2 linked regions of the Elephas maximus indicus genome follow. The protein of the gene in region 1 interacts with the protein of each later gene in a biochemical or structural test. Links are inferred from orthologs where the notes say so. Each region holds a gene or a part of one and is shown on either strand. Other genes may lie near its edges.

Region 1 (15,759 bases):
CGTATTCACTTTTAGATTCTAAGTGTTCGAGAATACTAAAATTTTCTGATTTCTAAAAAACAAACAGTAGCCTAAATTTTTTTTGAAGCAAAAAGGCCTTCGGATTACAAAATACTAACTATGAACATGTCAGGAGTTTCTCATTCTCTCCGGTTTCAAAATGTGGTCTATTCATCTCTTTTTAAAATCCCTACTGGGTTATAGATTTAATTCACGTATCTCTTGTTCCTAATCTCCATGACTTTTTAAAGTGGTAACTGCTGCTGCCAGATTAAATCAGGGCGGTCCTCTTTAATTACAGCACTACAGGTGAAGGATGGGAACAAGCAGCATTTAGCAATGCTACTAACTGCATGCATCATCACGTTCTCCCCACAATCGCTAACCCATTTAGGGGAAGCCACGCTGTATTTATAAAGAGGAACAATCAGCAAAAAAAAAGTAACAACTAAATCCTGGGCCAACTGGCCCATCGAAAACCAAAAACACAACCCCACACTTTAGGGAAATCCTTAGGGCAGAAAGGCCAATGTTCTTTCAGTTTTTAAAAAATTCCATTATGAAGACATCACAATAAAACATTTCTAACCGTGTCCCATTTGTCATCTTCACTTTCACACTAGAACTTAAGACAGCAGAGAAACATTAATTCATACTATAGCCTAGAACTCTCTACCCTAACTTTACGGGGTTTGTTCCAGCTTCATCTGCTCAGCTCCAATTGATCCTTCTGAAGATGACCAGAAATTAGATTGATATTTTATGCTCTAATTCCATGTCATGTTACTGAGTTCCCTTAAAAAAAAAAAAAATCAACTAATTCTACCAGACTAATACTATTTACTCAGTTACCAAAATTTAAATTAATTATGTTCTCAAACATAATTGTTAAAAATTGGCAACATTATGCAGGCTTAATTAAGATTAAATCCAATTTACTAAATGTACTTTAATTGGTACTAATTACATTAGCTTTCATTTCAGAATGACGAATTCCCCATAGGTTTCACTTTATAGTCCTCTATCAGAAGCAACAAAGGGTAACTGATGACGAGCATCATAGGAAAAGGGGGGGGATGGTCCCCCCCACCCTGTTTGTCACTGCTCTGTGCTTTCATCCTATCAATTTGCTAAGTCACAGAGTCATGACTCCATCACAGCCATCATTTTCTGTTCCAATGAAAAATTTCTCTAAAAATGAATACTCTGTGGCTGGCTGCTGCCAAGAACAGGAGCGTTAACCAAAAAATACACAAAGGTTTCAAATATCAGGGCCACCAATTACTAGGGGGTACTTCCAAGGACTCTGGGGACTCCTGCTCTTGAACCCTTCGAGACACAAATCTAATAAGTGAATAAGCCTAACCCGATCTTAAGAACTAGGCCCAATTACACCGCAGGGCAACTTCCCTGCATTATTGCTGCTTTCCATTACAAGGGCATCCAGCAAGTGCATCTGGAGGAGAGGCTGAGAGGAATCAAGGCCGTCTGCCCAGGAAAACAAATAAAGACAGATATGCCTCTGTGCTTAAGGGGGGAAAGAAAGAAAATATAATAAGTAGGTGGTTTGCAGGGCTGTCTGTATTTCATAATGTGATAAACTGCCCTCAGGATTCTCGATATGATTGAATTTAAAAGCAAGAGGAAAAAGAAAGGGGGGGGGGAATTTACTCCATTCTCAATTTTAAATGCATGGCATTTGAGGCCAGCTGGACAAGATGACAGAATCACAGAGGCATAAAACGTGTAAAATTAAAGGATCTCACATACCAAAAAATAAAATACATTCAGCCAAATACAAGCTATGTACCTCTCAGAAATGTAAGTGGTATAAGAAAACCTGGAAACAAGTGGTTAAGGTAAACGAGATACAGAAGGAGAAATAAAGGGATGTTAACCATCTGGCCTAATCTTTGAAAAGACACTACTTATGGCGGAGGGGGGGACAGAGGGCAAAAAAAGCCATGTACAAGATCCAGGCCTGAAATGAAATATAATGAGGGTCATTAACAAACAATATCTCTCATGTAATTTATTCCTGCAAGGTAAAGCTAAGGGGCGCCCACCCATAACTTGAGCGGACTTTGTTTAAGCAAATGTTTATATTACTAATCTAAACAGAAACTGCGAAGATGCCAAAGTAAGAATTTAATTTCAACACGCAGCATTCAAACTATATTGTAATACTCATCTTGACATAACCAAGTAGTACGTGAAATAAAACAGTATCTGAAATAAAAGACCTCAGTTTAAGTTAATGACTGGATTTTCCTCATTTTGTTTTCAAATACCATCCATCTGATTGCTTTTACTGTTTAACAGTCATTTAAAGACTTACTGACTGCGTTCTGAGCATGTGGTGAACAACCATGCCGAAAACAGAATCCATAAAGAGTAAGAGCCTAATAATGTGGTCATTTCATATTTTCTAAACTTAGGAGGTAATGACATCCACCTTGAACTTAAATAAGAGACGAAAAGCATCAAATTTATCTCGTCTTTTCCCAGCAAGCAAACGTATACACACTATTCTGAAACGGTTAATGAAACTTAAAGCGCTATTACTAGATCACTAAAAATAAACGCTTCCATGAGAATTATCATTACCAAACAATATTCAACATGTACGCACAGGTATGGGTACACACATATACACTGCATACATATATGCATACGCTAGTTCCTGTCCAGGACACTTAAGCCAAACCTTTCTATTCAGTCTCCTGCAAAAAAAGGCTGTTTGGATCAGCACTTTCTGAGTAATCATTACCTTTTTTTTTTTTCTTTTTGGCTGAACTAATTGCTAGATTCTAAGACCCAGTGTTGAACCTCATCACATCCTTCTATCAGGCTCATTTACGCTGCACAAATTTTGGAAGTAACTGTTACAGCTCCTGCTAAGACCCAACTAAGTAGCCTCGGGGGACCGGAACAAGGATTTTACATCAATCTCTTTTGTAGCTCCACAGACTTCATTTTGATCTTCCCCAGCTCACCCTCTATCCATTCTTTCACACTGAGCCAACTAAAAGGCTCCACACAATTTAGCTTTATTTTTTAACATTTTCCAAGAAAAGCTCTTCCCTAAAACAAGTTTGCAATGCCCAAAGTATGTAAGGTAACTCCTTCCAAAGAAAAATGACATATTTTCCAATTTAGAATCCTGATTTTGAAAGTGTATACAAGATCAGCATGCATTCAGACATTTTTAATCACATTTTTAAACAATTAAAATCAGGATAATATACAACAAAGACGGGGAGCCACACACGAAAAACAGCATTCTATCTAGTTTTTTAAAATACAGGCTGCCACAAAAGCAGGCAAATTTACAAAACATACAATTCTTTTTTTTTTCAGTACGCAGTATTACCAACTGTCACTTAAAATGGTTATAAACAAAATAACTTACCTGCTTATGCATTTCTATATTCAACCCATAGGACATTTCGTAATACTGTCAAAGAAGGAAAAGCAATTACATTAGTGCCTTTCATCAAGCAACCTAAGCTTGTTCAAAATGCCCCAAAATAAAATAAAAGCCTCACCTAAGCCCAAACATCCCTAACACCTATGCCTCTAAATCAAGGAAACGCCAACCACTATCTTTAGCCTAATAAACTAGAAGCCACCTTAAGACACGGATTGTAAAAGAATAACTCACTAACTCACAAAACTGAAAAATTAAGTGCAAACACAGCATTCTTAACATCTCCGGTTATATTTTTACATCATAAACGGATGAATCAAAAAGCCCAATGAAAATTCAGTACCATATGGACTGTAACTCCCAGGCAAAACATACAAGTGGTCAAGTTAATGGCAAAAACGCTTCTCGTACCAATGCTGATGTTTTGAAAAAACTATTCAGAGGGTGCTGCTACTTAAGAGTTTCAGTTTTTCATTTTCAGTATATTGATCACATTCACACATTCAAAGGAAAAAAGCTTGATAGGAGATGAGTAAGTTACTCAGTAGCCTTTACAAACAATCATACAAATATGCTTGGTAATACTTCTGAAAAAGCAGAACTGATTTTTTTTTTGAACATGTAGTACAACTGGCTTTATAGAAATTCTGGCAGAGCCAATCAGTTATCCTAGACACCACAACACTCCTCAAACCAATCCTATAAAAAGTGAAAATGCACACACATACACACCCAATAGTAACATAAAGAATGAAAAAAAAATCTGAAAAGGGGTCTGTTATCTATTCTTATCCATCATTCTTTGAAAGTATCAAAGCACATTAAAACCTTAACGGTATACAAAAAAAACTGGTTAAAACCATTTGGAGCAAGAGCAATAAAACAACAAAGAAAACCACTAACAGAAACATTTTGCTGTGACTCTAAACAAAACATAAATCAGGTTTTTTCCGTTGTTGTTGTTGTTTCTATCTATGAAAACAAAGCACAGAAAATTATACCCCACGCAGCTGAACTTTTTGAGAATTCAAATCAAAGGTGCTTGCCAAAGGCAAGTTATAACATCTTAGAATTACAGGTTGCTAATGGACACATTCCCACAACCTCAACTACAATGGCACCACAACTATGATCTATCCTGCAGCCTCCAGCAATTTGAACATATTCTAGCTTTTGGTATCTTAAACTAATAAGCACTTTGAATCTGACACAGTTTTCTTACCATGACATAATGCCGCTGCATCTCTGTCTTCTCACTGGCGAGTTTCTCACATTCCAGCTTCAAGCTGTTGAAGACACAATGAAATCTAAGTACAACGCAGAACTTGACTTACATCCTTCAAATCTAAGTACACAAGCCCGTCTCTAAATCATCACCTACAAACACCGAATCAACAATCTTGAAAACCACCCTCATTATTGAAGGAAGGGAGAGAAACAGGTGATTAGAGCCAGCGTAGACTTGTTCTTTCAATAAAGATCAAATGGGGGTTCTTTTTTTTGTTTGCTTTTTTAAGATATATATAAAAAAAAAAAAAGCCCTTTTAGCAAATTTAATTCTAGAACCTCATCCAGAAATGCATACTCGCTAAACTCACTAAAGGAAACAAAAAACAAGGAAAATAAACATCAATAACATTTACATATCCAAGCACAAGTCAGTCCCCCAGAATGTCACAATGGAGTTTTTTCTTTAATGTTCCACGAACAGATTAATAAAAATATGAATCAAGCATATCTTATGAATGATGTCTTATTTCTTCCCACCAAAACACAAAGACAAGTTGAATACCACCACCCAGGGGCAAAGTGTAGATTGGGTTCAGTGGTTTTTTTGGTTCTTGCATTTTCGAAATACCAGTTATACATCATTAAAAGCTGGCAAAATAAAAATGTTTGAAAATCACTCTAATGACCTCCTCTAAAACAAAACATTTTTTTCAGCAAAAAAGTAATGAACTCGCTCACTCAAGACTTTCCAAGGCTCTTGGCTCTTGGTATTCCAGTGGAACGGCAGAGAGAAGTGAGAAGGAATCAACCCCAGGGTAATAAAGAACCAAGGAAGTCAAAAGGCCCCTGAATCTTCGTAACCTTCCATTCTCCTAGCCCTAATAAATCAATACCGAAAGTTTTGGTCTCAGCGTTTTCCAAGTCTCCCCTAGTTTCGATTGTTCTGCCTCGCCTTTTTTTTTTAATTTACAGAAGAAATCTTTAATTTCTTTACACCTGCCTGAAGGAAAAGAGGCCTTTACTTGCCCTTCCTGCCTGCAAGAAAAAATAGTAATAACGCCTTTCTGGTGGCCAAAAATAAGACGGGGGGGGGATGTTTGTGTGTGTTTGAGTGTCTTGGGGGGGCGGAGGAGACAAGAGCTAAGCAAACAGAAGGATCAGCTAAAGTCAATATCATTACCTGTGGTATTGAGCCTGTAAAAACTGAAACTCTTCCTTAATCCGATCACAGGACTCGGAAATCGTAAATTTAAAAGGTTGTGCAGGCTGATGCGGTGCCTAAAGAACAATAAAATACTTAATTAGCCCACATCACAGGCAAAGCAAGGAGCTGGAGAAAACCCACCACGCGGCGCTAGCATTAGGGTTTGAGGGGGGGTCGTCGCACCGGCAGCGAAAGGGCGATTAAAACTCTTCTCCCACCCACTTCTCTCATCCAAGAGCCTGGGCAAGAGCTGACTGCGGAGTGGCCCGCGTTCTCTCGTCCCTGGCCCCGCGTACCCCCGACCCCGCAGGTTCGAGACCCCGTTCCCTCCCTCGCCAACAGCACCGTTGCACCGCACCCACTCCCTCCGCACCCGGAATCGAAACTGGCCCGTCGAGGGGACTCGCGCCATGTCGTCGGGCCGCGGTCAGGCAGGGGCGGGAGGGGGTGGTGGCGCAGACGGGAGGCAGACGCAACCCTCCCGGGCTCCCTCGCTCGCCCGCCCCCAGGGGTCGGCACTCCGGAGCCGCCGGGCCAGCCGCGCCGCCGCCGAGGGCGCCCTCCCCGCCCGGGCGCGGAGTCGCGCCTCCTTCATCGCTCGCTCTCCGCCCCCCCCACCCCGGAGTCGCGGCGAGGGGATGGCGAACGACTCCGCGCGGCTTCCAGGGGCTTCAAAGACAACAATAAGAAAATGGCTACAACTCAATTGCCTCTCCGCACCCCCTCTCCGAAAGTGGCACCGCGCCGAGGCGGGGGATGGCAGGCGGGCAGCTCCCAGAGCCGCGCGCGGATTGCGGGCCGCACTCCACGCCCCTCCGGCCAAAACACAACTAAGCACACAGGGGGGCGACGCAGGGAATCCCCGGGCGCCGGGCGAGCCCGCGCCCCGCCGCCCGCACTCACCGGGTGTCTGGTCTGCGGGTACATCTTGCTCAGGTCGCGAATCATCCAAACCGATTTAGTTGGCTGCTCTGGCCAGAAGCGCGCGGCTCATTGGCTTTAATGGTCCCGAGGAGGAGGCGGCGGCGGAGGCGGCCGGCCGGGTCCGAGGGGCGGCTCGGGTAGTCGCGGCCCCCGCCGGGTCTTGCGTGACGCGGGCGGGAGGAACGCGCGGCGGCAGCGGCTGGATCCCGGTGGCCGGGCCGCTCCGCATTCCCCGCGGGCGTCACTGGCCCGCCGCGGGCATTGTCCGGCGCGCGTCTCCCGCGGCAACGCTCCGACGTTCGCTTCGCCGAGGCGCGTCCGCCGAGCCCAGCGCCACAGCCCCGCCGCTCAGCTCGGCCGGGAAAGTGCGAGCTCCGCGCCCGACTGCCCGCCGGCAGCGCCGTTCAATCTCTCGCTCGCTCTGCGCCCCACTCCAAACTTTTTTTTATTTGTCTTTTAATTGGTTGTTATTCCTCCGAATGAAAGATCTCTTCTTTCCTAAAGGCAAACACTCCTTTGGTTCGAAGAGGTCTCGCCGGTGCTTTTTAGTTTCTCTGGAGATTTTTTTCACTTCACAGCAACGATCTTTTAAAAGGCACCTTTTAGCTTCTTTTACCACATCTCATTTCCTTATTTTTCTTCCTTCCTGTTTTCTTGTCTTTTTTTTTTTCTTAACCCCAAATTGAAGGGGATTATAAAAATAAAAGAGTGAAACGCTTGCGGCTTTTTTTTTTTTAATTCTCTCTCCTTTCAAACTCTGCGAACACCACCTCAAAATAATATACAAGTGTGTGAGAAAGGGGGGAAGACAGCAGCCAACAGCCAAACACCCGCTCAGAACAGCTCTAACAACACGCTCTGTGTAGGTGACTTCTTTGACCAAATTTAGCAGCAGCTAATCATTAACATTCTGATACATATTCACAATCGTCCGTGAGGGATCGCGGAGCATCCCGGGAGATGTAGTCCACCTACGGCGACTAAGGCTGAGGATCCGGCCAGATTGACTACAATCACCGGCCGGCCACGCGACCGCTCTGGGGCGCTCTCCAAGCGCTCCGCCCACCCCCGACACGGCCGGCATCTCCAGCAACCAATCAGAGATGGCTGAACATTAATCGCCGTTCTGTGTTACTGCCCATCATTTCACTGCTGACAAATGGCGAGCCGGAGGGGAGGAGCCGGCCGGGATGAAACCCACGTGGGGGCCGGGCGTCGCCTGCGGCTTCAACCAATGAACAGAAAGGGATGGGGTTGACAGAGGCGGGGCGGAGATGGCCCGCCCAAGGCGGAGCTTCGTCCTGGCTCATGTTCCTTAGCGCGAGCTTTCGAACCAGGGAAACATTTGTTCAGCTGTCAATCAAAGTAACGTGGGGTGAGCAGAAGCGGCGGTGGCGGCTGCTGTTGCTGCTGCCCTGGCTGCATCTTCAGAACTGGGTGTTGGTGGCGGTGGCGGAGGCAAAATAAAGGGGGTAAAGGGGGCGGTGAGACTGGGGCTGGTCAGAAGATCTCCTTCCGAGTCTCATCCTCCCTCCTCAAACACCCTCCCCTTGCTCCGCGACCTCGCCAGGAATGCGGACTAATTAGGGTCCAATGTCTCCTTAAAGAGACAAGCTCGGCCTTGTGTAACGCGCCGAAACCCCTGTTGAGACAAGAGAGGGAGGATCACGCTGATCCCACTTCGTTCGGTTCACATCAATTTTACGCGCCGCTGGAGCCGGCATAATTTTCCGTGTGAACGCGGACTCGGGCCCCTGCCCTTGTTTAGAGCCGTAGACGAAGCTGCAAGACGCCTGCCTGGGCGGGGGACTGGGAGCGGCGGGTGGGCAGGCACCCCTGCCAGCCTCGGGGGAGGCTGTGATTACCGTTTAACCCCGAAGCGGGGTCGCTTCCTCCCAAGCAACTAGGGAAGGAAGCGCCCCAATAAGATCCGCCCGAGGGCCGCGGGGGCACATCCGTGCAGCCTCGAGGTGGGCTGAAGGCCCGGGGGTGAGGGCCGCAGGATTCCCGAAGAAACTTTGCCGAGGGGTCCGCCTGCATCTCGCAGACTGTTATTCGGTCCTCATTTAAGCAGGGCCAACATGGTGCCTACCACTGGCACTGGAAAGAAAATGTTCCCTGTTCCTCTCGAAGATGCTCCGGCTCCCAGTTTAGTGGGAAGAAGACTGTCTCCTTTCCCTCCAGGGCCGCCGCTCGCCCCTCCCACCCGCTGTTCTTGGGAGTAGCCAGCCCTGTTGAAACCGAGGGCACGCGGGGCTCCGGGAAATGCGGGCCGGGCCCCACGGGGTAGGAGCTGGGAAGATGGGGGCCACCCGAGGGCTGGGGCAGGAGAGATGCGGGTGGCTGGGAGCAGTCTCGGGGATGTAGGTGGGGGGCAGCCTCGGCGGGGAGGGGGCGTGCCTAGATGAAAAGGGCTTATACTGTGGGGCGAACTTAGACTCCGTGGCAAGGATGGAGTGACCCAGGGCAGGCAGCCCCTCCAACCTTAGCTCCCATCCAGCCGGTGGCAGCTCCCCAGTTTGAGAGAGAGGACGTGAGGGTTCCAAGCCATCTCTTGAGAATCTCTGTTCTTTGGGGGCTGGGCAAGAATTCGGAAAAGGTTCAAGTAGCAAACCAAAACCCATTGCCATGGAGTTGATTCAGACTCCTGCCGACCCTATATAAGACATAGTAGAACTGCCCCGTGAGGTTTCCAAGGAGTGGCTGGTGGATTCGAACTGCCGACCTTTTAGTTAACAGGCAAGGGTTGGTTAATCTAATGGTCTTGAATTTGGGCATTCATTTTTGAGTGTCGTTTTGCCCACTCTAGTGTGTCTGAGTGCTGTTGGTTCAGCATTAGTGGAAAACCATCCTTCTTGACGATGTTACGGTGGACGAATTAATGATTTAATAATCCATTTTTTTTTTAGCACATGGCATGCATGGGCCTGCCTCTGTGCTGGGCGCTGTGGAGTGCTGGTGCAAAGGAAGGCTATGGTGGTCCTCACTTGCCTCTCATTCCTTACTAAAACTCTGGAACTAGAGCTCACAGAATGTTTCAATTCAGCAAACCTATTCTCCTCCATCCCCAAAATAAGAGGACAGAGGAATCTTACGGCTTTCTGAACCTCTGTCATTCAATCCCTTCTGCCTGCATGTGGTTGTTGAGCACGGAAATGTGGCCAATCCAAAATAAAATGTGCTCTAAGTATACTTACACACCAGATTTTGAAGAATTAATATTTAAAAAAATTGAAATATCTCAATAATTTCATAAAGATTACACATGTTGAAATAATATTTTGAGTTAAAACAATATATATTATTAGTATTATTTTTGCCTGTTTATTTTTACTTTTTTTAACTTGGCTACTAGAATATTTATGTGGATCACATTACTTCCATTGGACAATACTGTCCTGAAACATTTGCAAGAATCAAAATTTAGAAGACCCAAGTGATGCAATTTCTATACTAGGACAGTGATTTTTCTAAGAACACCGGCAGCAACAGTATTCTATCCTAAGGTCAGTTATTTGCTCCCACTGGAGCTTTTCAGTAATTGGTTAAATCATCCGTACTGCCTCTGTTGGGAAGTTCCATGTTCTCTGTTTTAGCCAGAATGTTAGCAAGTTCCATAAGAACAGGGACTTATGTAGTTGTGCTCACAACTGCATTCCAAATGCCTAGATTGATGTCTGGCACATAGTTTGTGCTCAGTAAATATTTGTTGATGACATTAATGAATGAATGCCATGTTGTGTCAATATAGGAAGCTTCTGCATCTTCTGGGCTGTATTTATTGAAATTCTGTGCAGTTATTTCCCAGTACAGGAAATGAGAATTCTAATAATAGAACCTGAAGAGCTATTGAGAGGGCCAGTGGACAAAGGGGAAACTTTGCTCTGTTAGGAAATATTAAATAGCTTGTAGCAGGGACCTTTCTCCTAATATCTCTTGACAGTTTATGTCAACAGAAGAGCGACTAGAGAAATCAGGATGTTTATTTTTTATTAAGTACAGTTTTAAAATACAGCACTTGGAGATGTTTCACATTTTGGCTATGGGGCCCATAATCCATTGCCATCAAATCGAACTCCAACTCATAGCGACGCTATAGAGTAGAACTGTCCTATCGGGTTTTCTAGGCTGTAGATCTTTATGGAAGCAAACAGCCACCTCTTTCTCCCATGGAGCAGCAGGTGGGTTTGAACTGCCAGCCTATTGGTTAGCAGCCAAGCACTTAACCACTGTGCTACTAGGGCTCCTGGCTACGTGGCAGATCTGTATAACTCTCAGTGATGTCTCAGATGCCAAGTGCGGTAGCTCGTGGCCCAGTCCTAGTCCCAACACAGACAAGTGCTGCTTATGGCTACTTTTGTCTCCTCTGCACTCTGAGCTTCTCGCAAACTATTGAGATGAGCTGTGAAGTTACATGGGGGATCGTCTTATTCCTAGTGCATAGTGTGGGCTCCAAAATTTTCATGTAGAAGGGACTGGGTAACAACAATCATGTTGGAAGCTGAACCTAGAGGGCCAGTCTTGAAGTGACGTGTAAAGCAAGTATATTGTTTTCACTTCGGTTGTATGTTATAAATCATTGATACTTTCACCAAATATTTCCTGAGTACCTAATATGTGCCAGAACATGGGAATTTAACATGAGTAAATGTGATTTAGTGATTTATTACCTGCCAGCTCCAAATTCACCCTCTTGCCTGCTCTGTGAAAATGGATCTGGGCCCTTTAAATTGTTCCTTTTGCCAGCTGGCTCTGAGGCTCTGCCAGTAGAGGGCACTGGAGAGACATTGCAGGGAAAGGGTTTTGCTTCCTGGTTCTGGTGTGCTTCATCAGCATGTTCCTATAGTACCCATGGCGAGCAGCAGAACCCAGCAGCCAGCAGCTTCCCATGTAACCCCCCTTAGGCAGTTTTGTGTGGAGTGCCTCTGTGAGATACTTTCCCAGACAGTTTTCCCCGGCACCCCAGAGGATGGATTTCCAGCAAGTGTTGGGGTGCAGGTTTCTGGCAATTTCCAGAAGGCATATTTGCAGCAGGGTCCACCTGCATAATACTGTAGCATCTTCACTGCCATTCAAAGAGCCACAGCTGCTGCCCCTCCAACAAAATCTAGATCTCAGCTCTAGGGTGTGTGGGGAGTTGGGGGGAGACTCTTGTTTGGAAACTCTTATCTCAGCTCTAGGGGCAGTGAATGCTCCTTATATCTGCTATTTCTATATCCTTTAGAGGTCTCTTTACTTCGTACCAGTCAATCCGTCTTTACTTCAATTCTCTGTTATGTTAATAATTCTTTATATGAAACTTTCCTTGTTCAAGTAACTATGATTTCTCTCTTGATTGTGCCCAGACTGATACAGTAAATGGCACAAGCAAAGTCTCTTCCTTGTTAGAGCTTACATTCCAATGGAGGAATAAAAAAAAAAAAAAAAAAACAAGTTACAGTGTAATAAGAAGATGGTGGTAAGTGCTATGAAGAGAAATAAAGCAGGATAGGAGTGACTGGTCCCTGGGTGATGTGAATGGTTTACGCTCAACTAATGAGCTTAAGGTTGGCGGTTTGATCATACCCACTGGCACCACGGAAGAAAGACCCTGTGACCTGCTTCTGTAAAGATCACAGCCAAGACAACCCTATGGAACAGCTCTACTGTGTAACACATGGCGTTACCATGAGTTGGAGTTGACTCAACAGCAACCTGTTTGGTTTGGTTTTGGTTAGGTGTGACTAGAGTGGTGGAACTAGTTCAGATGAGAGGTCATGGAAGGTGGGGAGGAGGCAATAGTTAAGAGAGGCCTGAATGCCAGAAAAAACTCTCTTTGCAGGAACCTCGGGTCCAAAGGATGCACTCTGCTCCCAGTGCTGCTTTCTTGGTGGTATGAGGTCCCCATGTCTCTCTGCTTGCATCTGTCTTTTATATCTCAAAAGAGATGGGCGTGACACTATCTAAGCTTATTATAGATCTCATCAATATAACTACCACTAATCCATCTCATTACATCATACTAATAGGATTTTCAACACACAGGGAAATCACATCAGATGACAAAATTGTAGACAATCATACAATACTGGGAATCATGACCTAGCCAATTTGACAGATATTTTGGGGGGATGCAATTCAATCCATAACAGTATTTGTTTTCTATTTTGAGTGCAATGGAAAACCATGGGGTGGGCTGGGAAGGTAGATGGATGCATGTTGTAAGTAGACACAGGATCATTACAAATAACAAAGTAATTGAAAGGTGCTCTTATTCACACTTGACCTAAGATTGAGAAAGTGTCTTTTCCGTATTAAAGAATATCTGTTAGTTTTACCTTGAGAAGCTGATGAAGATTATGAAGGCACTAACCCTACCATTCCCCCCAAACATGTCCTTTGGCACTGCCACTAATGAGTAATGAGTAAATTCTAATTTGAATATAAGCCACCTATGCAATTCAGAAATGTCACGCTCTGCTTTGAATATACTAGAACAGAAATCATCACAGAGAATCAAGGACACATAAATCCATTTCTAGATCGGCAATTGACTTGCTCAGTAGCTGACTTGTCACCACCCTCCAATTATGATAAGATAGAGATAGCCATACACAGTGATCCTTATTAAAAAAGATTTAGTAAATTGATGTCAGATAGAGTGCCAAGTTTCTAAACTTGTCTAGTGAGGCAGAGCTTTAATTTTGCCGGCTGCTTTTATGTTCAGTAGTAGAGATAGCCAGGCCCTCTTTGTGTTGGCATATCCCTTCTTAACTTGACAGATAAAAGGCAAATGGGTACTGTCTTAGTCATCTAGTGCTGCTATAACAGAAATACCACAAGTGGGTGGCTTTAACAAAGAACAATTTATTCTATTACAGTCTAAATAGGCTAGAGATTCAAATTCAGGGCATCAGCTCCAGGGGAAGGCCTTCTTTCTCCATCAGCTCTAGAGGAAGACCCTTGTCATCAATCTTCCCCTGGACTAGGAGCTTCTCTGGGCAGGAACCCTGGGTCCAAAGGATGAGCTTTGTTCCCGGCACTGCTTTCTTGGTGGTATGAAGTCCCCATTCGCTGCTTGCTTCCCTTTCCTTTTGTCTCTTGTAAGATAAATGGTGGTGCAGGCCACACCCCAGGGAAACTCCCTTTACATTGGATCAGGGATGTGACCTGAGCAAGGGGGTTACATCCCACCCTAATCCTCTTCAACTACAGGCAAAGATTATGATTTATAACACATAGGAAAATCACAAAATGGAAGACAACCACACTATACTGGCAATCATGGCCTAACCAAGTTGACACATATTTTGGGGGACACAATTCAACCCATGACGGGTACCCATTGCCTATTTGGGGAAAGGAATGGCTTGGCTTGGGAGTGGGGCTGAAGAGTTTGCACAGGGAATAAGAAGGCTTCTGGGAGAAGAGCCTCCTTTCTGAGATGCTGCATTATCTGAACCACTTGAGATAGTCTCTAACTGCTGGAAGGAATGAACACCGAGGCTGTTTTCTTCCCACCTGGGTGTTGAGGGGCAAGGCTAGTAGACAGGGGACAGTGCAGCAAAAGGGGGATGTCTAGAATTCTCCATGAAGTCAACAGGAGAATGGACTGTTGACCAGGGCTCAACATCAGTACCTGTGTTACTGAGACAAGGAATACTGTTTTTTCTTCTCATTCTGAAGGAACTCTTAGTTGAAAATGGAAACCCCCTTTTGGTTCAATCATGTTGACACTAATGGAGTGTTTTGGGGCAAATGGCTAAGTGTTGGACAATGATAAAGACCTGTGTAGGACCCCCTGTGTGTAATAGGGACACCTATGTCAGCAATAGTTTAGGGGTCTGAGAGAAATCCTGGACTTTTGCTAGTCTGAACAATTTTGTCAAACATTTTAAGATATCTGCAAATGTATTTATACTCCAAGTTGATAAAGCAAATCACACCTAAGAAGGACACTATTAAAAATGATCCTCTTACTCATGAAAAGCTCACTTTATCTCTACTTTCTTTGAATCTGGGAGGGCCCTTTAAGAGATTTTTCTGTTCCAGTCTCCTGCCTTTAAGCAAACAAGGTATCATTAACCCCACTTTAAAGATCAATCAACTGAGGCTCCGAAAGAAGTTATTTGCCCGAGGTTATATAGCTTGAGAGTACTGAAGATCAAGAACCCTGTCTCCTACCTCCTTATTTCATATCTACATAAAACAGAGTTCCACAAGTGGATATTCAATTCGGTAACTGGAGCCCTACCCAATTCACCTGCGTGGTTTACTCCTTTTCAAGCAGATGTTTTATTGTTAAAATGGGGGTGGATGGTGAGTCAGGGAGATGCCTGTTGCAGCTGCCGCTGGGCAAAAGCTGAACCTGAGGCTTCCCAAGGCTACAGGAAGCAAACCTTGCTCCCTCCCTCCCTCCCTCTAGCCCTAACCTTGCCGTCTCTGAAGGCTTGACAAAGGCAGTTCAAGACCACTGAACAGTGCATGAGCACTTGAGCTTTTACTTTCAACTAACAGCAGGATCCAGTTCACACCCAGTCACCAGCGCCTCTCACCAGGCCTTCACAAGGGCTCCCGCACTTGCTACCTATCACAACAGCCTGTGGGGCAGATATTACGGGAGAAAAACCGTGCCTTTATTTTCCGAAATAGGTGGCGTGGGAACAGGGTAGGTGTGGGAAAATATAAACAAGCACCATACTGCTTTCTATGAGAAAATAATTCATCCAAGTCCAGCACTATGTTCAACTAGAACTGGAGCCCAATCCCCAGTCTATGAGCTGTTGTTAGCTTTGGTTAGACCCTTTAATCTTTTTCTTCCTCAGGAGTCTCCTCCATGAAAAGGAGGTATGGTCTGTAATTGCCATTTAAAAAAAATTTTTTTTTTGAGGGGGATCTAAGTTGGCAGTAGGGAATGAATTTGGATTCAGGATCATCTGTTAAGCTTGATCACGTTTTCTTTCCCCCCTTTTTAATACTTCCAAAGAAAGGA
Region 2 (15,998 bases), about 50 Mb from region 1:
CCTACACTCGAGGCGTCTTTCAGAAGGTGGAACGCCTGCATGGTGACTAATTGGCTGCTGCTTCTTTTTTTCTCTACCTCTTTCTTTCTTTTTTTAGGGGAAAAGCCGTCACGAGGAGCGCGTTCTGCAGAGGATCCAGTGGGGTCTGTAAAGGTCTCGGTATGGACTGGCCGGCTCCTAAGCAGACGCTTAGCTCAGGGACTCTTACTTCGTTGATTTTTCAAAGTCACCTCCTTAACTCCAGGACGCCTTTGGAGCCCTGGGCCCTGTGTCCTCACTTGGCTGTCAATCTCTTCTTCCACACATACAAGCACATAGACCCTGGTCCGGGCCCCATTTTCCCTCTAAGCTGCATCTTGGTCAACCCCGCGACTGAAAAGGACGCGATCGGGGTTGAGTGTGGGGCGCTGTCTGATACTCAGACTGACCTCTCCCTACAACTTCATGCCCTCCAACTGCCCCAGCCCGGGGCTCCCTCGGGGTCCAAGTCGGGATTCCCTGGGCACTCTGGGATGTCCCCGCCGGAGCCCCTGAATGGCTGCAGCTTGCTGCCTACTCTACGCGTTGCCGGAGACGGGATTCCTGGTGCCAGGTCCTCCGGCCCTGGCGGCCAGGAGCATTGTTCCATGTCCCTGCCTGGGGGTCTTGCACTTTTCAAAGTTGTCTGCTTGGCCACAGAGGTCATGAGTCTTTCCGGCCTTAGTACCTACCCCGCGCTCCGGCACCCCCAACCCGGTCCCTGCCAGGAGAGTGAGAGAAACGAGCTCACCGCCTACTTACTATGCATGGATGCAAACGGGTCGTGCTTACAGTGTATTTCCATCGGGGCGCTCCAGACTGCAAGCCGGCCCACGCCGCCGTCTCCCAGCGCCAAGGGGCTGCCCAGGGCGGCCAGGGAACCGCGCCGCCAGGCCGGGCACCGTGCAAGCTGGGTTCAGGAAACACTGCTGGAGCTTCGGGGCCGTCCTCAGAGCCGCCCTGCCAGGGATCGCCGAGAGCGGCGCAGAGAGGCGGGAAATCGCGCTAGTGCGTCCGGCTGGGAGCCGGCGTCCAACTCCGGCTGGCTTCACTCCCCGGCTGGCTCAGGCAGCGACTCCGGGCCCGGCCTGGGGCAGCAGTGGCCAAGGCACCCGCGGCTTCCAGGACATAACGTAGGGGCCCGCCTCCCAGACGTCTAGAAGCCTCCGGCTCAGATAGGGGTGTCTTTGAGGAGGCCGGCGGGACACGCGGCCCTTGGCTTTACTCAGGGGAGCAGCAAGGCCCGGGGAATGCCAGATTCGTCTCTCGGCCTTGCTGTCTCTGGGGTCTCTCCTCGATCCCTCGGTCTCCGCCGGATCCTTTCTCTCTCCTTCTCTGAGTCTCTAGACTTCGGACTTGGCCCTTCAGCCTCTCTACACCCAGCTTTCCGACGTCTCGGACGAAGTTGCAAAGAACTTCCTCCTTGGCAGCGCTGGGGCCCCGGTGGGTTCAGAGACGCTTCCGCCACTGACGCTAAGGGCGAGACTCCGGAGTCCCGGGAACTGGCAGCCCTTACAGCCCGGGACCCGCTGCCTTCAAAGTTTCCACGGCCCCCGCTGCTCCCCCATCGCTGGGACCAGGAATGGGGGACAACAGGGACGGACTCCTCTCGCTTTGGTATCTGCCTCAAGCCTACCAACTCCTCAAACCCCGCTGCCCTCTCTCGGGAGTCTGGTTCGACTGTCTTTCAGCTGCCTCTTCCGGGACGGCCGCCGCGCTTGCCCCAGGCGTGGAGCTAGGGCAGGAGACTAGAGAAGAAGGTCCTCGCCACCAAAGCCGCTGGGACTGCCGGGGCCGGTGCTGAGATGGAACTGCTGGCCGCTCTGACTCCCCGCGCTGCTGCCGCCGCCGTCGCCGCCGCCGCCGCCGGCGCTAGCCCTCCGCCTGCTTGGCGCGCACAGTGCGCCACCGCGCCGCCCCGGAGCCGCTTTCAGGACCCGCTGCGTGTGGACAGCGCCGCCCGGGGCTCAGCCTCCCTCCGGGCGGGGGCGGGGCGAGGAGCTAACCTGCCAATCACTCTCCGTAAAGCCAATCAGAGAAGCGGCAGCCGGCCCCAGCCCGAAAGGCTGTCCCATTGGCTGAGCTACCCGCGGGCTCCGCCTGGTTAGCCTATACCTGGGCAATGGGAGAGAATGGGGGGCGGGGCCCAGGCGGCGGCGCCACGTTCATTGACAAACGCGCGGGGCAAAGGCCTAGTGGAGCGCCCGGGGGGAGAAAGAGAGTTCCTTGGCGGCTCCCTCCAGGCAGGCCTCCTCTCCTCAGCGTTGGAACTCTGGGATGCCCTGAGGGGTTGGGGGCAGCCAAAGCAAGGGTGGAGTAAAATGGTCTCTAGAAAAAGAAAAACCGGACGTCGGAGGAAGACATGAAGCATAGTAGAGAGCCGGTTTTAATCTAGACTCCATCAGACTCTTAATGGACTCAGAATGTGTACATATCAGTCTGTTTTAAACCTCAGTCGCCTCATCTGTAAAATGGGAAGGGTTATTTTAACTCTTTGATTAAGTTTCCTTCCATTTCCTAATTTAATCAAGTGCCTACTAAGCTGCCGCCTCCGCCTCCTCGCCCACCCCCTTCTCTCATCTTTCACGCAGGGCCCCCAGTCCTGCTCTAGCCGAAGGCAGAGACGTGGGGAAAAGGAGTATCTCACACTCCTTTAAAGTTAAAACCAGGGTTCACCTGGGGGAGCGGGCGATCTAAGACTTCGAACCAGGTTGCTCAGGTTCTGCGCCACAGGCCCTCTTTTCAGCCTCAGACCCGAACCCGCCAGACGCTTGGGGGCTGGTGTTGCGCGCAGCTGGGGGCTTCCATCGGCAGGGGCAATTCCGCTTCCGGGGAGGTCTCTTGAGAACCGAACGAGGCCCAATGGTGTACAGAGCTAATGAGGGTCCCTGGAGCTAGCGGGCGGGTGGGTTCTACCTGCAAGGGTCGAGCGTAGCTGTGCCGGGGCGCTATGTTGCCTCAGCTTCCAACTGTGGTAAGAACACAACCCTTCTGCCCTGCTCGGAAGTTACTGTTGTTTTTTAAGAACAAACGGGTGGGTTTCTAGCAAAACTCTTTCAACCCAGAAGGGAAGGATCTTTAGCCAGGAGTCTCATTTTCTCCGGGGTGTGAGGCCTTGGGACCACAATCAGAGGAACCGGACAGCCTTTCTCCATCCAGGCGGCCATAGTTATGTGGACGTCTATGGTGTGCCAGGACCCGACTCTGCCCCAATGGGAGTGATCCAAAGACCCTCCATTTCGAATTCATAAGCGATGATCCTCTAATATTAAAAATAAATTCATCAACACAAGGACTCTGAGTCGCCCACTCCAGACCTGGGTTTGTAGGATAGAGCTCAGGTGGACCCTGGAAGGTCTCTCGGGTCATCTTGTAGCTTTAGTCTCTGCCTCAGTCGTTCTTCCGGTTCCCCCTCCTTATCTTTCTCACATCCCTGGCCTGGCTCGGCCCTCGGACCCACCTTCTGTCCCTGTCCCAGTCCCAGCTGCCCCTGACGGGTAGAAAAGTTTCCGGGGTTGATACCCGTCCCCACCCCTTCCAGGGCACAGCTGCGAAAAACGGCCTTAGGCAGGTCTCTGGGGGCCAGGAGGCTGCGGTGTGCTGGGGGTGGGGTAGTGGTGCTATCTCTCCTTTGTCTGGAACCCGGCCTGTCCAGACCTTCTTCCCCCGGCTCACCAGCGTCTCAGAGCAGTAAGATCACTGCAGCGGGGAGGCACCTGGAGGGGTTTGAGTTCCCGCTTTCACTCCCCGCTTGCTGGAGTCAGGTGGGTGGGAAGTGACTGGAATTCAGAGCTCCAGACCCGACTTGCGAGCTTTAAGTTCCCGCTGGAGAGGCGGGGCTGTGGAGATGCTCTGAGGGACTCAGCCAGTTACACCCCCACCAGTGTTTGTTGAGCTTGGGCCTACAAACCCAGATTCTAGATTCTTTGAGCTACAGGCTTTCCCCCATTTTACAGATGCAGGGCCTGGGGCCCAGAGGCAGGCTATGACTTGCTCGAGGTCACAAAGCAAGTCGCGTGTAAAGACTGTGAGCCGGGAACTCTTTCCCAGAAGCGCCTCTCCAGAAGAGCCACTACCGGGAAGGCAGGACGTTTCTGTGTGCCAACAGGGCTCCTTCCGTGGGGATGGGCCCAGAAAAAAGGGAGAGTGCCAAATGAAATCAAAGGACTCAGCAAGGATATGTCGGCACACGCCTGTTTCTCTTCTAATACCTGTGCAATTCAGACAGAATCTCCAGGACACTGTCAGGTGGGATGGAATCAGAGAAGATTCCTCCAACAGTAGTATCTCGAATTCCCTGTTTCACACAGTCGGTAGGTTTCCGGAGCCAGAACTCAAATCTCTAGCTTGGGGCGGCTTGGGTGGTCGCCGCGTGGCTTCCACAGGACCAGTCTAACCTGTGCGCAGAGAACGGCCCTCTCCCGCACGGCGTGATGCGCCCGGCAGAGGGAGTTTGGGGAGCGCGTCCTGCTCACCCCACCCCCCGCCTCCCCTGCGTGAGGGTTATTCACCTCCGCGGACAAGCAGGTCTCCGGAAACTTCTAACCCCAAGGGACGCGACCAGACCTAATATCCTAGCCACCTAGCTGAGCCTTACAGGCCACCGAACGCTGGCCCAGAGAGGTTACGTGACTAACCCGAGATTTCACAGCGATTTGATGGCGGAGCCAGGCTTCCGCGCCTTTGGTCCTGCCTCCAGGGCTGGTGTCAAAGCCACAGCGCTGAAAGAGGTCTGGCCTAGCAGTGCGCCAACAGTCGCGTGGTTTTGTTCTCTAAGCAGCACTGCGAGTCGGCTTTAGGGGTCCGGCCCCGTGCTAGGCACCGGGGGCTAGCAACGGTGAAAGAAAACCACCTCCGAAGAAATTCAATTTATGTAAATCGAATCGCTTTTGAAAGTTTTGCGATTAAAAGGAAGCCAATTGAAAGCCGCAAAATATTCCAAGAGCATCTTGAGCCAAAGACCCGGCTTCTCTCAGAACACACCCCCCTCTCCACCCCACTCTTATCTGTTAGATTCTCCACCTTCAGCGCGCAAAGTTACCGTCGGGTCAGGGGGTCGGGACTCTTTATTGCGCTCTGTTGGCCTGAGATGGACTCCCAAAGCCCCAGTTCAGCCCATTTTCCTGCTCTGGCTTGCGGCAAAGCGAGGCCTACAGGGCTCAGACGATCTGCTCAGTTCAGAAACGGTCAGAGATGCCGCGAACATTGCTGTCCTAAGCCATGGGTCCTTTTTAAACCTCAAACAAACAAACAAAAAATCCGAGAAGGAAAGCAGCTGACTCCAGGTTACACAGTCCCGATAGAGCCGATTCCTGCGTGATTCCTTCACCTGATCAGGGGACTGTCCTGCCTGGTCCAGAAAGTGGGTGAAGGAAAGGGGACTTTAACCAGGTTTTTCCGAGAACCAAGTAAAGGACCTTTGTTATCGTCACCATAGCACCCAGCAGGCCAGGGGCGCTGGGAACACCTGTCACCTCTTCCAAAGAAGTCAGGTCCGCAGGCCCTTCCCTTGGGGCCTCAACTCTCCCGTGTGTCTAGTGGGGAGAATAATCCCTGAGATGCCGCCTTCCCAAGGCTTGGTGAGATGAAGTTCCGTGGGGAAGCAGTTATTATTAGTCCACCCCTGGGCTCATTCCAGAGCTGAGAGCCTGGATGCCAATGTCCAGTTGTAAAGTGTAGAGTCTATCCAAGTCTTCCTGGCCTTGGGACCCCACAGCTCCCACCTCAGGCGGCTTGCTCAGTAGTAGTTTTTCTCCACTGGGGGCTGGTGTGAGGGTGGGGGGGTCTATCTCCACTCTCGGCAGGAATGAAAGGTATAGGGCCAGAGAAGTCATCTTCCAGCCCTACTCCCTCCACCTGCCCACCTTGTGATCTTAGACAAGCCCCTTTGCCTCTCTGGACCTCAGTTTTCCCTTCTCCTTACCACAAGGAGGTCACTAGGTGAGAGGATCCTTAAGTGGCTCCTGCCCATTGCTGACCTTGCTGGATCTTGGATTTAGAGCTAGGTCATACCCCTTCTCCATTGTACAGATAGGGAAACTGAGGTCTGGGAGAAGGAATGGACAAATGGTCCTGAAGGAAGGAAAGGGAGGTCAAGTGGGCCATGAAAGGACCCTGGATGCCCCTTTGAGCTCCAGCCTCGCCAACCTCGCCAGCCTCGCCAGCGTCCAGCCCACTCCTCTACCGGCTGCCGGGGGGTCCTGTAGGGTACCGACAGGCGGAAGTGCAGTGCCACCGGCTCAGTACGCCCTTTCCCCGCCTCGCCCCAACTGGTCGGTGAGGAGGGGGCGTGGCTCTCCAGATTTTCAGCCTTGGCCAGCCTAGGGCTCCCCCTCAGCCCCACCCAGGCCCGCCGCGGGGAGGAATGAAATGCTTTATTGATTAAACGATTATTCAGGCGATTGAACTAATCAAAGGGCCCATCGACCGCCGTGAATTACATTCTTCGTAGACAGCTCGTCAGGAGAGGCCCGCACAGACCCCACACCCGGACACTCACAAGCCTAGGTCCTGTTCCCAACCCAGGCACAACCCTTAGTTCTGAGCGCAGGCGCCTGGGAGAGTCCCTCCTACTGAGAGACCAGTCGCCCAGGGAAGGGAGAGCTGGCTGGGGAGGAAGGATAAAGCAGAGGGGTTTTCCAGATTCTTCTCCTTGAGCCCTGGTCCCAGGAATCTTTTGGCTCCCTTCTTTTCTTCCCTCCTCCCCCTCTTGGATCTCTGTCCTCACCTCTTTTCAGTCATGAATTCGGAAACGCACCTACCCAGGGAGTTTTCCTGGGTTTGGAACCTAAGTTCACCCTCCTCTGCTCTTTGACCTGTATTTTGGCTGGTTGAAGGTGGGGGCTCATAGATGGAATAGGAAAGGAGGAACACTGGGAGAAAGGGGAGCTCTGGAGGAGAGTGTGTTCGTATATGGGTTAGCCCATGTGGCCTGGGAGTGAAAGAAGCCCCCAGACCTGGTTAATGACTCCAGGCAGATAGGGGCCTCCTGCAGCCTGCCACCTACCACCTCCTCTCAGACATAAATACGCCCTGCTCCCCAAAGCCTGGGCCTGTAGGAGGCACACACCAGGCCCTGTGCCAGAAAGACCTGTGTGCACACAGGCTTCAGAGCGGGATGCCCAGGCTAGGCACACCATACACCCACCTGTGCTCTCCTCCACTGGAGCAGCACCCACAGGATAAAACCTGAGCACACACATCTCAGTGCTAGAGACTTGTCTGGGGGAAAGCAAAGGCAGGCTGGGGGGCTCTAGAAATGTCACATCTAGCCAGTAGGCTGCCTGTTCACACCTGCCAGGGTTATGCATATCACAGGAGACCCTTCTGTACAAATGGTAGACTTGACAGTGCCCACAGAGTGAAGTAGTGCACGCCACACACCAAGGGGCCACACGCCCTAAATACACATCTCCACCCTTGCTTCAGTCTCCAACATAATGGCACCTGGGCCTGACTGGCAGTCCCCCACAGACCCCAGACCCATCTCTGTGCCCAGAGGTAGGCACTTTCTTGTGCATTGGCATGCACACAGTGGACAGCTTTCTCACTTCCAAAATCACTTGGAGTATAATGAGTGAACATAAACCCTTAAAGGAGTAGACGCACAGTCAGACCCTTATCCGAATTATAAAAATGTCACTCATGGACACACATTTTGGATGCTCAAAAGAACATACACACAAGCATCACCTCTAACACACACTAAACATACATGGGTATAAAGACGCACACAAACTCCTGGACACCCATTCAGACATTTTATAACACATGTAATACATGCAGGACACACACATTGTCAGTCATACACATACTGAGTCCCTTTATGTAAACGCACAGACTTAAACTTACAGACTCCTAGGTAGGCACCCACATAAACATTCAGAAACAGAGAAAAACACAGGCAAATTCGCAGACACATGGACTGATGCAGAGGCTTGTGAACACACTGGGAAAAAGACACGTAAATGCAACACAGGCAGACATATAGTCAATCCCTGCGAAAATGCGGAGTGCCCCCTCCTCCCCCAGGCCCAGCGCCTGGCTGTGCTCCGTTATTACCACGCCTGGAGCCGGTATCGCGGTCCTACCTGTCCTGCTGGTCCGAGGAGTCGGGTAATTTTTCTCTAAATCCATTTTGATTTTTCAGAACTTGGTGGAATGGACAGGGAAAAAAGTTTCCACTTTTTCGTGCCTTTTTTTTTTTTTTTTTTTTTGGTGCCAGGGGCCGCTTACAGGTCGGAATAATTCAAGCCTTCCGCTCCCCCGCCGAGCTGGGGTAGCTGATCACTGAGCTGAAACTAAACGTTTTAGGTGGAAAAAAAGCGTCCGAAGGCACCGTGAAATGATTAAGGAACTAAAGAGCTTCTCGCCATGTGAGATCATGTCCTGTTCTCGCCAACATCACAAGATGTCCCCAGACGCGCCGCGCCCCCAGCGCGCGCTTCCCTGCACCGCCGGCCCCGCACTGGGAAAGGGTGTAGGCGCTGCGCTTGTGGCCCTGTTCGGTGGGCGAACCGGGCCGGACCAGAGCAATGCCGGAGGCCCGAAAAGCAGCAGAGCTGCCGCCGCGCCACCCCGGACTTTTATAGGGGCGGGGGGAGGGAAGGAAGGCTTCAAAGTGCGCGGAGCACCAACCGTGCGCCTAGTGGAAGGGGCAGACAGGAGCCGAGCCCGGAGTCGGGGCTCCACGGCCGCACTCTCTACTAGACCTGCATCTTGGGGTCTCGGCCCTACGAGCTGCGCAAGAGGCCGATGGCCCCTCCAAGTGCAAACCTTGCTGCGTAGGCGGGCGCAGGCCTGGGTTTTGTTTTTAAAGAAATCAACCATTCTGCCAGGCAGGTGCTTTTAAAGGTGGTGCAGAGGCGAGCAGTGTTGCCAGGGACAGAGGGGGCGTTCCAATATCCTCAGATTCACCCCTAGGGCGGCGCCCGCCCCTAGGACTCCTAGCCACCCCACCCCCTTCCGAATTTGCAGCTCCAATACTACAGCCCGGCCCAGACTCCTGCGCAGCGCCAGGTCCCCAAAATCCCCGGGTCCCACTCAGCCTCTTGGCCCCAAAGACCCTCCCCACCCCGGGTCCCATTGTGGCCGGGGCATGGAAGTTAAGCTGTGAAATGCTGGAGATAAAATCCGGGCCTTCGCTTTGGAGTGCCCCGGCAGAGCGGAACCACCTCAGAAGGTCCTGGAGAGAGGTGGGAGCCCGGGACATCTTACCCTGGCCCATAAATGGAATCCCTCTGCCCTCGGGCCCCAAGAAGTTGCGGAGTGCCCGAGGCCCAGGGCTTGATTCCAGAAGGGAAACCAGCCCAAGACAGACCCAGCAGAGGTGTGGCATGTCCAGCCAGCTTTCTACGGCCCGGGCTTAGGACTTCCTTCCCCTCCCCAGTCCCGAGTCCAGCTGCTCCGCGGGGCCACTGGAAACCCGTGGGGCCCGGCTGAGGAGTGATCGCAGAGACAAGGCTCTCCAGGGCGGGGGAGCACTCTGCAGGAGGACTCTTGGCCCGCCGGACAATAGCAGTTTCGGAGAGTGAATCCGCGACAGTGTTGTTTGTTTTTTGGAGGGGGTGGTCACGAGGCTTGGCCGCAACCTAGGGGGAAGAGACCAGAGCTCGAGAGAAGGGGGAGGGGGGCCCGGCGGGAACCGGACACCGCGTATCCACTGAGCCAATTTCTCCACAATCGGAAACGTGTCTGTGGATTCCCGGGCCGCCCCCCCACCAAGTGGTCTGAGCAGTCCCCTTTCGCTGCCTCCTTCTTGCAGCCCGCGGGTCCCAGTCCCTGCCCCGGGGATTTGATTTCTGCCCATCCGCTTTCCCTCCGCTGCCGGGCCACAGTCCAGGCTTCCCGCCCTCCCGCCTCGCAGGGGCTGGGAGGCAGAGCCGGGGAGGAGCGGCCTGTCCGCGCCTGGAGATCAAAAGCCCTCTCGGAATTGACATTTCACCCCGGGTTGGGGCAGGGGGTGTTTGGGGCTTTTTCTATTTAGAAGGTTTGTTTTGTTTTTGTTTGTTTTCTGTTTTTTTTTTATATTTTTCCCTTATCTGAAAGACAGCCTTTTGTTACGGCGTGTTTTGCGTATTGTTGTGCGTGTGTGTGTGTGGGTATGATTTTAGAAAATTTTGCTCTGTGCGTCTTGGTCTTTTGGGTGGGTTTTGTTTTCTGATTTGTATGTTTATTGTACTTTGTCCTTGAAGGTTATCTTCCTATGTGTCCTTAAGAAGGCTTTTCCTTTCGCGCCCGCAGTGTTTTCATTTTGTATTATTAGTAGGTTTAGCTTGTGCGTGTGGCTTTAGGTGAATTTTGTGTTTGTATTTTGTTTTCTTCGATTTTGATTTTATGAACTGTGCATTTGGATGGGAGTTATGGTTTATTTTTACGTGTTTTGGTTTTAGTTTTGAGGCTTGTGGCAAGCTTTGGTGAGTTTTGCATATGTATTTTGGCTTTGTGAGACTTTTGGACTAGAAATGGAACACCGGCCGCTACTCTGTTCCTGCCTGCACCCAGAAAGGGCAGAGAATCAGGCCAAGCAGCTCCAATGGTGGGTTTACCGTGCTCTGAAATACCGTATACCCGCGCCCCGGCGCTGCCGCGCCGCTCGTTGTGATGTCGGGGTGAACTCGAAACAAATGTTCGTTCCCGAGGGGGCGCCCGCTCCAAGTCACAACCCCCGGGAGTCCTGCGGCACCAGGGCCAGGGTCAGAATTCGCAGGGTCACCCCTCCCCCAATGCCGGGATACCCAGGCCCAGTCGCGGTTCCCTTGCCCGCTCTGGATCCTTCTCCCTTTGCTCCTGGTCACCGTGCTTCAGGCCTCCCCGATTCCTGCAGCGTTGGACTGGAGGGGCTGACTCCTGGCTCCGGAGCAGGGGGCGAAATACTTCGGAGGATACGGAATTGATGCTGCGGCCCTAGAGATACCGGGCAAAGGGCCAGAGACGCAAGAAGTCTAGGCGTCGGGAACCGGGCGGGGGGCGGGGGGGTGGCGGGGAACCATCTCCTTTGCCCGCAGTCCTAGAATCTCAGAAACCCAACTCTGCTCAGCTTTCGGTTTGGAGAGCACTCCCTGGCTTGTAATAGTAGACACATGTATCCACACCCGAACCCAGTGATATACAGCTTGAGTGCGAAAGCGAGGGAGCCTGCTCCTCGGTAGCAGCGGCCTGCAAGCCTCAAGGGGAAACCAAACTGTAGTGACCTGAAAAGAATAAGGCATTCTTTCTGTCCAAGTTGCCGGGACTTCTCCAACCTCAGCACTCCTCGGATTGTTTAATGCTACACCAGGGAGAAAAGGAGAGGCAATTTAGAGATCCCCACCGAGAGGCAGAGAGGCCTGCTCGGCCGGCGAGGAAATGCGGGTCGAGAGAACAAAAAATGGAAACGGCAGCCAAGGCTTTGGGGAAAGGCAGATTGGAGGCCCAGAAACGGGCTGGTGCAGAGACTTCTCCAGGCTCCTGTGTGCTCTGGCATTATGTGAGAGGGAGAAAGCAGAAACCGAGAACAGACTGACAGGAAAAGAAAAGAGACGCAGAAGGGGTTGGCCTAGGCACGCTGCGAGCTTCCCTTCAGCTAAGACACTGTAGTCAAAGGTGGGGGGCGGGGGGAGACGACATCGGGAGGCGAGGGGCCAAGATCGAGCTCTTCTACTCGGCCAAGAAGCACAAGGGGGCTCCAGAACCCGTGGGACTGGGCCGGGAGCTCAGTTCTGGCCCAGCGCTCCCTAAGGCCTTAGCCCGAAATCTAGCAAAGATTGTGCCACTGCGGTCCGCCGCTGGGCCTCCCTCTGTGGAAGCCCTGGAAGAAGGCTAGGGGACCGACTCTGGTCTTAGGGCTCCGGGTCGAAGCAGGCGTGGAGGGTGGATGGGAGCCGATGTCTAAGCGTGAGGCGAACAAGAGGCTCCGCCCTAAATTCGGAGGACCATTTCTGGGAGCAGCTGAGGCGGGAACTGGACTCGCAGGATTCGGGTTCCGCTCAGCGCACACGTGGCACCGCACCTTGGGCAGGCGGCGCCCCTAATGCCCAGCGCTGCCCCGCTTCATTCGCTCGGCCTGAACAGTGTCAAGGTTGAGGGTGGATGCCTAGTCGCGGCGAGTACGTCCCTCGCGGTAAAGCTTGGGGCTTGCCGGGGAGCGGTGCCCTTGTGGATGGGGGCGCCTCTCGATTGGCAAATCCCAGGGCGCAGAGAGCAAAAAGCGCTCAGCGCGGGCCAGTCGCCGCCGCCAGTTTCAAGTGGCGCTTGTGGTGGTAAAGCTGAGGATCCATTTGGGTTAAAGCACCCAGTTCTGCTGCCGGTGGGGTCCTCTGTACCTAAAGGGCTTCGAGTTCCGGCTGCTGGCTTGCTGGGGCACCATGTGCCAGCAACTAAAAAAAAAAACACCCCGAAATACTCGGGTAGCGCTGGAAAACACGATGGGGCTGCGTTCGGGGTACCTGGTGCTCATGGTGGGTTATTGCTGTTGTTGTTTTACTTTACTGCCTTTCCTGCTTTAATTAAAAGTGTTACTGAGAGAAGCGTCCAAGAGCGCGGACCTGGGGCGTTTGGATGGGCTCATCTGAACTCAAATCCAGCAGTTCAATTCAGTTCCGCGATTGGTCTCCAGCGCACAGGTACACATGGCAGACGTCAAGTGTTGCCTGATACGTATGCACAGATAACGCGATTTGAAGGCAACTCTTGGAGAATTCCGAGATAAAATTCACTCTTTTGAAGTTACTTTCAAGATACATGAATATGGAAGACAGGCAGTCAATTGTGTTTAAAATTTGCCAACACACCCCACCTAAGTATCCAAAATGGGGCATTGAAAAGATTCACTGACACTCTGATTGTTTAACCTTGAAAACAAGTGTAAATCGGTTAAATTTACTTTTATATTTCCTTTTAAATTTAGCAATATCATAATTTGAAAGTAATAAAGTTATATTTTGCTACAGAAAGTTTACATATAGGATGTTTTCTTTCTACCATTGTTTATACAAAAAACTGCTATATCTCCCCACCCCTTTTTCCACCGATATTTCTCCGTGTAATGGTAAGCTTTAAATATTCATGCACCAGCCCATTTATTTAATGTGTTTTAAACTGATAACATTTTAATGTGGTATCATCTGATTCCACGAAGTACTGTAATGTAAAGAAGCTTACATCATAAGCGAATCTGAGTGAGGGCTAGGGCACAGGTTAAAGGAGTCTTCGTTTTGGACATAGATCAGAATGTTAAAGGCAAGTGAAGTGCGGCTCTAAGCAGGCTGTTTCATGTTCTCGCTTACTTCATTCTCCCGCTTTCTATAACAACCTCAGAGCTGGGGTAGAGGATCACAGCAGGATTGGGGCGCTTACCCTGGAGGCTATAGTGTAAACCTGCAAACAGCCTCAGTCTCAGGGCAGGTTGTGGGCTGAATTTTATTTTTTCTTTTTGAGGGGAGGAGGGAGACTAAAGGGAAAGAGAGGATACTACAGGATATAAAGTCTGGATTTGAGAACATGGCTGAAAGAAAATTGTGCTCTCCAAGTCTTTCAGATTTGCTCTTGATTACCTATTTTTAGCAACTTGACCAGCTATTTGTTGGTAGCTTCTTCCAGGACTCAGTCCAGAGTGAGAAGGAAGCAAGAAGCTAGGTTTGGGTCCAAAGGGCCTTTGCCAATGCTGGTGGGCAGCCATCACCCAAAGTGTTTATATTAACTTCCCCTTTACTTTGTACTGGAGCTGGAGGACAGACCTTCAGACACTGAATGCGAATCTACTAAAAAAAAAAAAAAAAAGTGTCTACAAAAAGAAAAATTAAATATGTCCCCTGATTTATTTTCAGTAAGATGGAAGCCATTTGGAATACCCCAAGTTGGTCTGGGGAGCTTACCAACATAGAACTAGAAAGTCATTTTCCCCCTAAATCATGAAAATATTTCTAGTGAGAACTCATGGAATTGTGTTCTTTTTATAAACCAGAGTCTACCTGTCACATAAGGAACTCCAGCAATTTGAGGTCTGATGACCAAAATATTCACCTAAATTCATACCGAAATATTCGAACTGTATCGTTCATACTAAAATGCTGCCAACATTTCAATAAAAACAGTTTTTAGAACAACTGCTGGTAATTTTCTTGAGAGATCCTTATAAATTCCCCCAGAAAAACAATTAAGGAATATGTAGTCTGATTTTTTTATAGACTGTACATGTTCATCTGAATACATGTATTTGTAAGATTCTATGTAGAGACAGGCTGAGAGCTTGCATGTTGGCTTCTTCTTTCTGCATAAATTCATACAAACAAGATTTGAGATGAAAACAGTTTTGGTAATTGAAAGGGGGGCATTTTTTTCCTAGTTTGGTACATCAGTTGATATCTCATTTCTCATGCAATTTGGACGTTAGGTCTTGTACTCCATGAAGTGACAAAAGAGAATTAGGCCGGCTAAAGTGTCCAAGATGAAAACCTGTCGGTGTCTGCAGGCGGTGCCTCAAAGTGCTTCCTTGGACACACGTTCCTGGTGGTGGGGAGTTTGCTGCCTCTAAACCAGGCCTGATCTTTTGTCTTTTGACCTCTGATGCATGAAATTAGGTAGCAAAAGAAAATTTGAAGAAAAGGATACAAAAACATGGAATAACAGCCTGCCTTGACAATAGTCATTGTATCAGATCATAGCAGAGCTGCCCTACGCAGCCCGAAGTGCTTGTTTATAAGGCTGCAGGTCTTCCTGGCCACTGGCATTCCTGTTTTCCTTTGTGGGAGATCTGCATTTGTTGGGGGAGGGATTAAGGGCTCTTTTTAATTAAGGGCAGAGCTGGGTTTTGTCCTGGCTCCTTTCACCAAAACAAGTGCTTGGTTCCTCCATTTCCTCTGAGGCCCTCTGTGGAGGGTCCGGTGCCTGGGTTGAGCCAGCCGGACAGCTTCCGAGACCCAGAGCCCACCTGGAGGAAAGCTCTGCCCCTAAAGCCCTTCTGACCACCCTGGCTGAAGCCGTTTCTCCAGCTGGCATGGAGGTGGGGATTGCTTTTGGTCCTGAAGGGCCACATATCCCAGTGGGCAGCCCTCTGCTCTTTCTCCTGAGGGCAGACCCGGCAGGGGAGGCTTATAAGGTACTGGGGTCCCCAGTGCCCTCTACTGTCATGAGTGTCAGGGAGAAGTGCAAGGACATTTGCAGGGAAAACTTCCATGATCCTCCACACGGCAGTCATGTGAGCCTCATAGCCACCCTGGGAAAAGATGCACAGCCCTGTCCCAGGGCCAGGGCGTGATATCACTTGACCCCCAGGTCCTGTCCAGAAGGGAGATAAACCTCTAATTAGACCACAAGGGTGTGAGGGTGGTTGTGTGGTCAAGCCATACTCTGGAAAGGAGGTTGAAGATCTCTTTGGGGGAGTGACCTGAAATGAATGTTGAAGGATGAATAGGACTTTGCTAGGTAAATAAGGACATGCAGGGCATGATTATTGTCCCTGTTTTTCAGATGAGGCTCCTGGAGCGTTTCAAGGCATAAGCAAATTGCTGTGAAACTAGCCGGCCAAGGGTTTGGTAGTAGAAGAACTAGCAAATGCTTCTGAGGGCAGGAACTTCCAGTGATCTGGGGACTGGGGCAAAGGAAGGATAGATAAGGTGGGCACACTTCCCCTAAGATTGCCAGAGCAGCAGCTGCCAATATTCTCCTCTTACCAGATGGAGTGTATGGGCCTTCAGGGTCAAAGGAGATAGAAAGGGAAAGAAAGGCCTTAGGACCAAAGAAAAGAAACACAAGGAAGCTTAATTTCTACCGATTTCTCACCTCCTGCCCTGGGAAGTTTGCAAACTCCTCAAAAACTTCAGCCTGGAGTGTGCCTTACCAAATCCTCCAAGGCTGCCTGAGACCCTCACAGAGATGTGGCTGGTGGCCACCACTCCCTGCTCAGGCCCCACAGCTCTGAGCTCTCTCTCCCTGTGACCTTGTGGGTTGGAAATGGAGTATATGTGTGCAGTTCTCACCACTCCATCTAGTCTATGAGCTCC

The links.
Region 2: the proteins of transducin-like enhancer protein 4 (region 1) and PAX5 form a complex in vitro, tested with the Homo sapiens proteins (2 studies listed by BioGRID). The link is inferred for Elephas maximus indicus from reciprocal best matches to the Homo sapiens genes TLE4 and PAX5.

What each region holds. Positions count from the first base shown.
Region 1 is NC_064827.1:96,131,814-96,147,572, reverse strand, and holds the start of transducin-like enhancer protein 4, read right to left. Parts: upstream 7,668-15,759; 5' UTR 6,813-7,667; coding exon 6,768-6,812; intron 6,334-6,767; exon of another isoform or gene 6,277-6,333; coding exon of another isoform or gene 6,238-6,276; intron 5,939-6,237; coding exon 5,841-5,938; intron 4,717-5,840; coding exon 4,653-4,716; intron 3,458-4,652; coding exon 3,413-3,457; intron 1-3,412. UniProt on the Homo sapiens protein: Transcriptional corepressor that binds to a number of transcription factors. Inhibits the transcriptional activation mediated by PAX5, and by CTNNB1 and TCF family members in Wnt signaling.
Region 2 is NC_064827.1:45,901,151-45,917,148, forward strand, and holds the start of PAX5 (paired box protein Pax-5), read right to left. Parts: upstream 8,298-15,998; 5' UTR 8,155-8,297; coding exon 8,109-8,154; intron 1,897-8,108; exon of another isoform or gene 824-1,896; coding exon of another isoform or gene 781-823; intron 1-780. UniProt on the Homo sapiens protein: Transcription factor that plays an essential role in commitment of lymphoid progenitors to the B-lymphocyte lineage. Fulfills a dual role by repressing B-lineage inappropriate genes and simultaneously activating B-lineage-specific genes.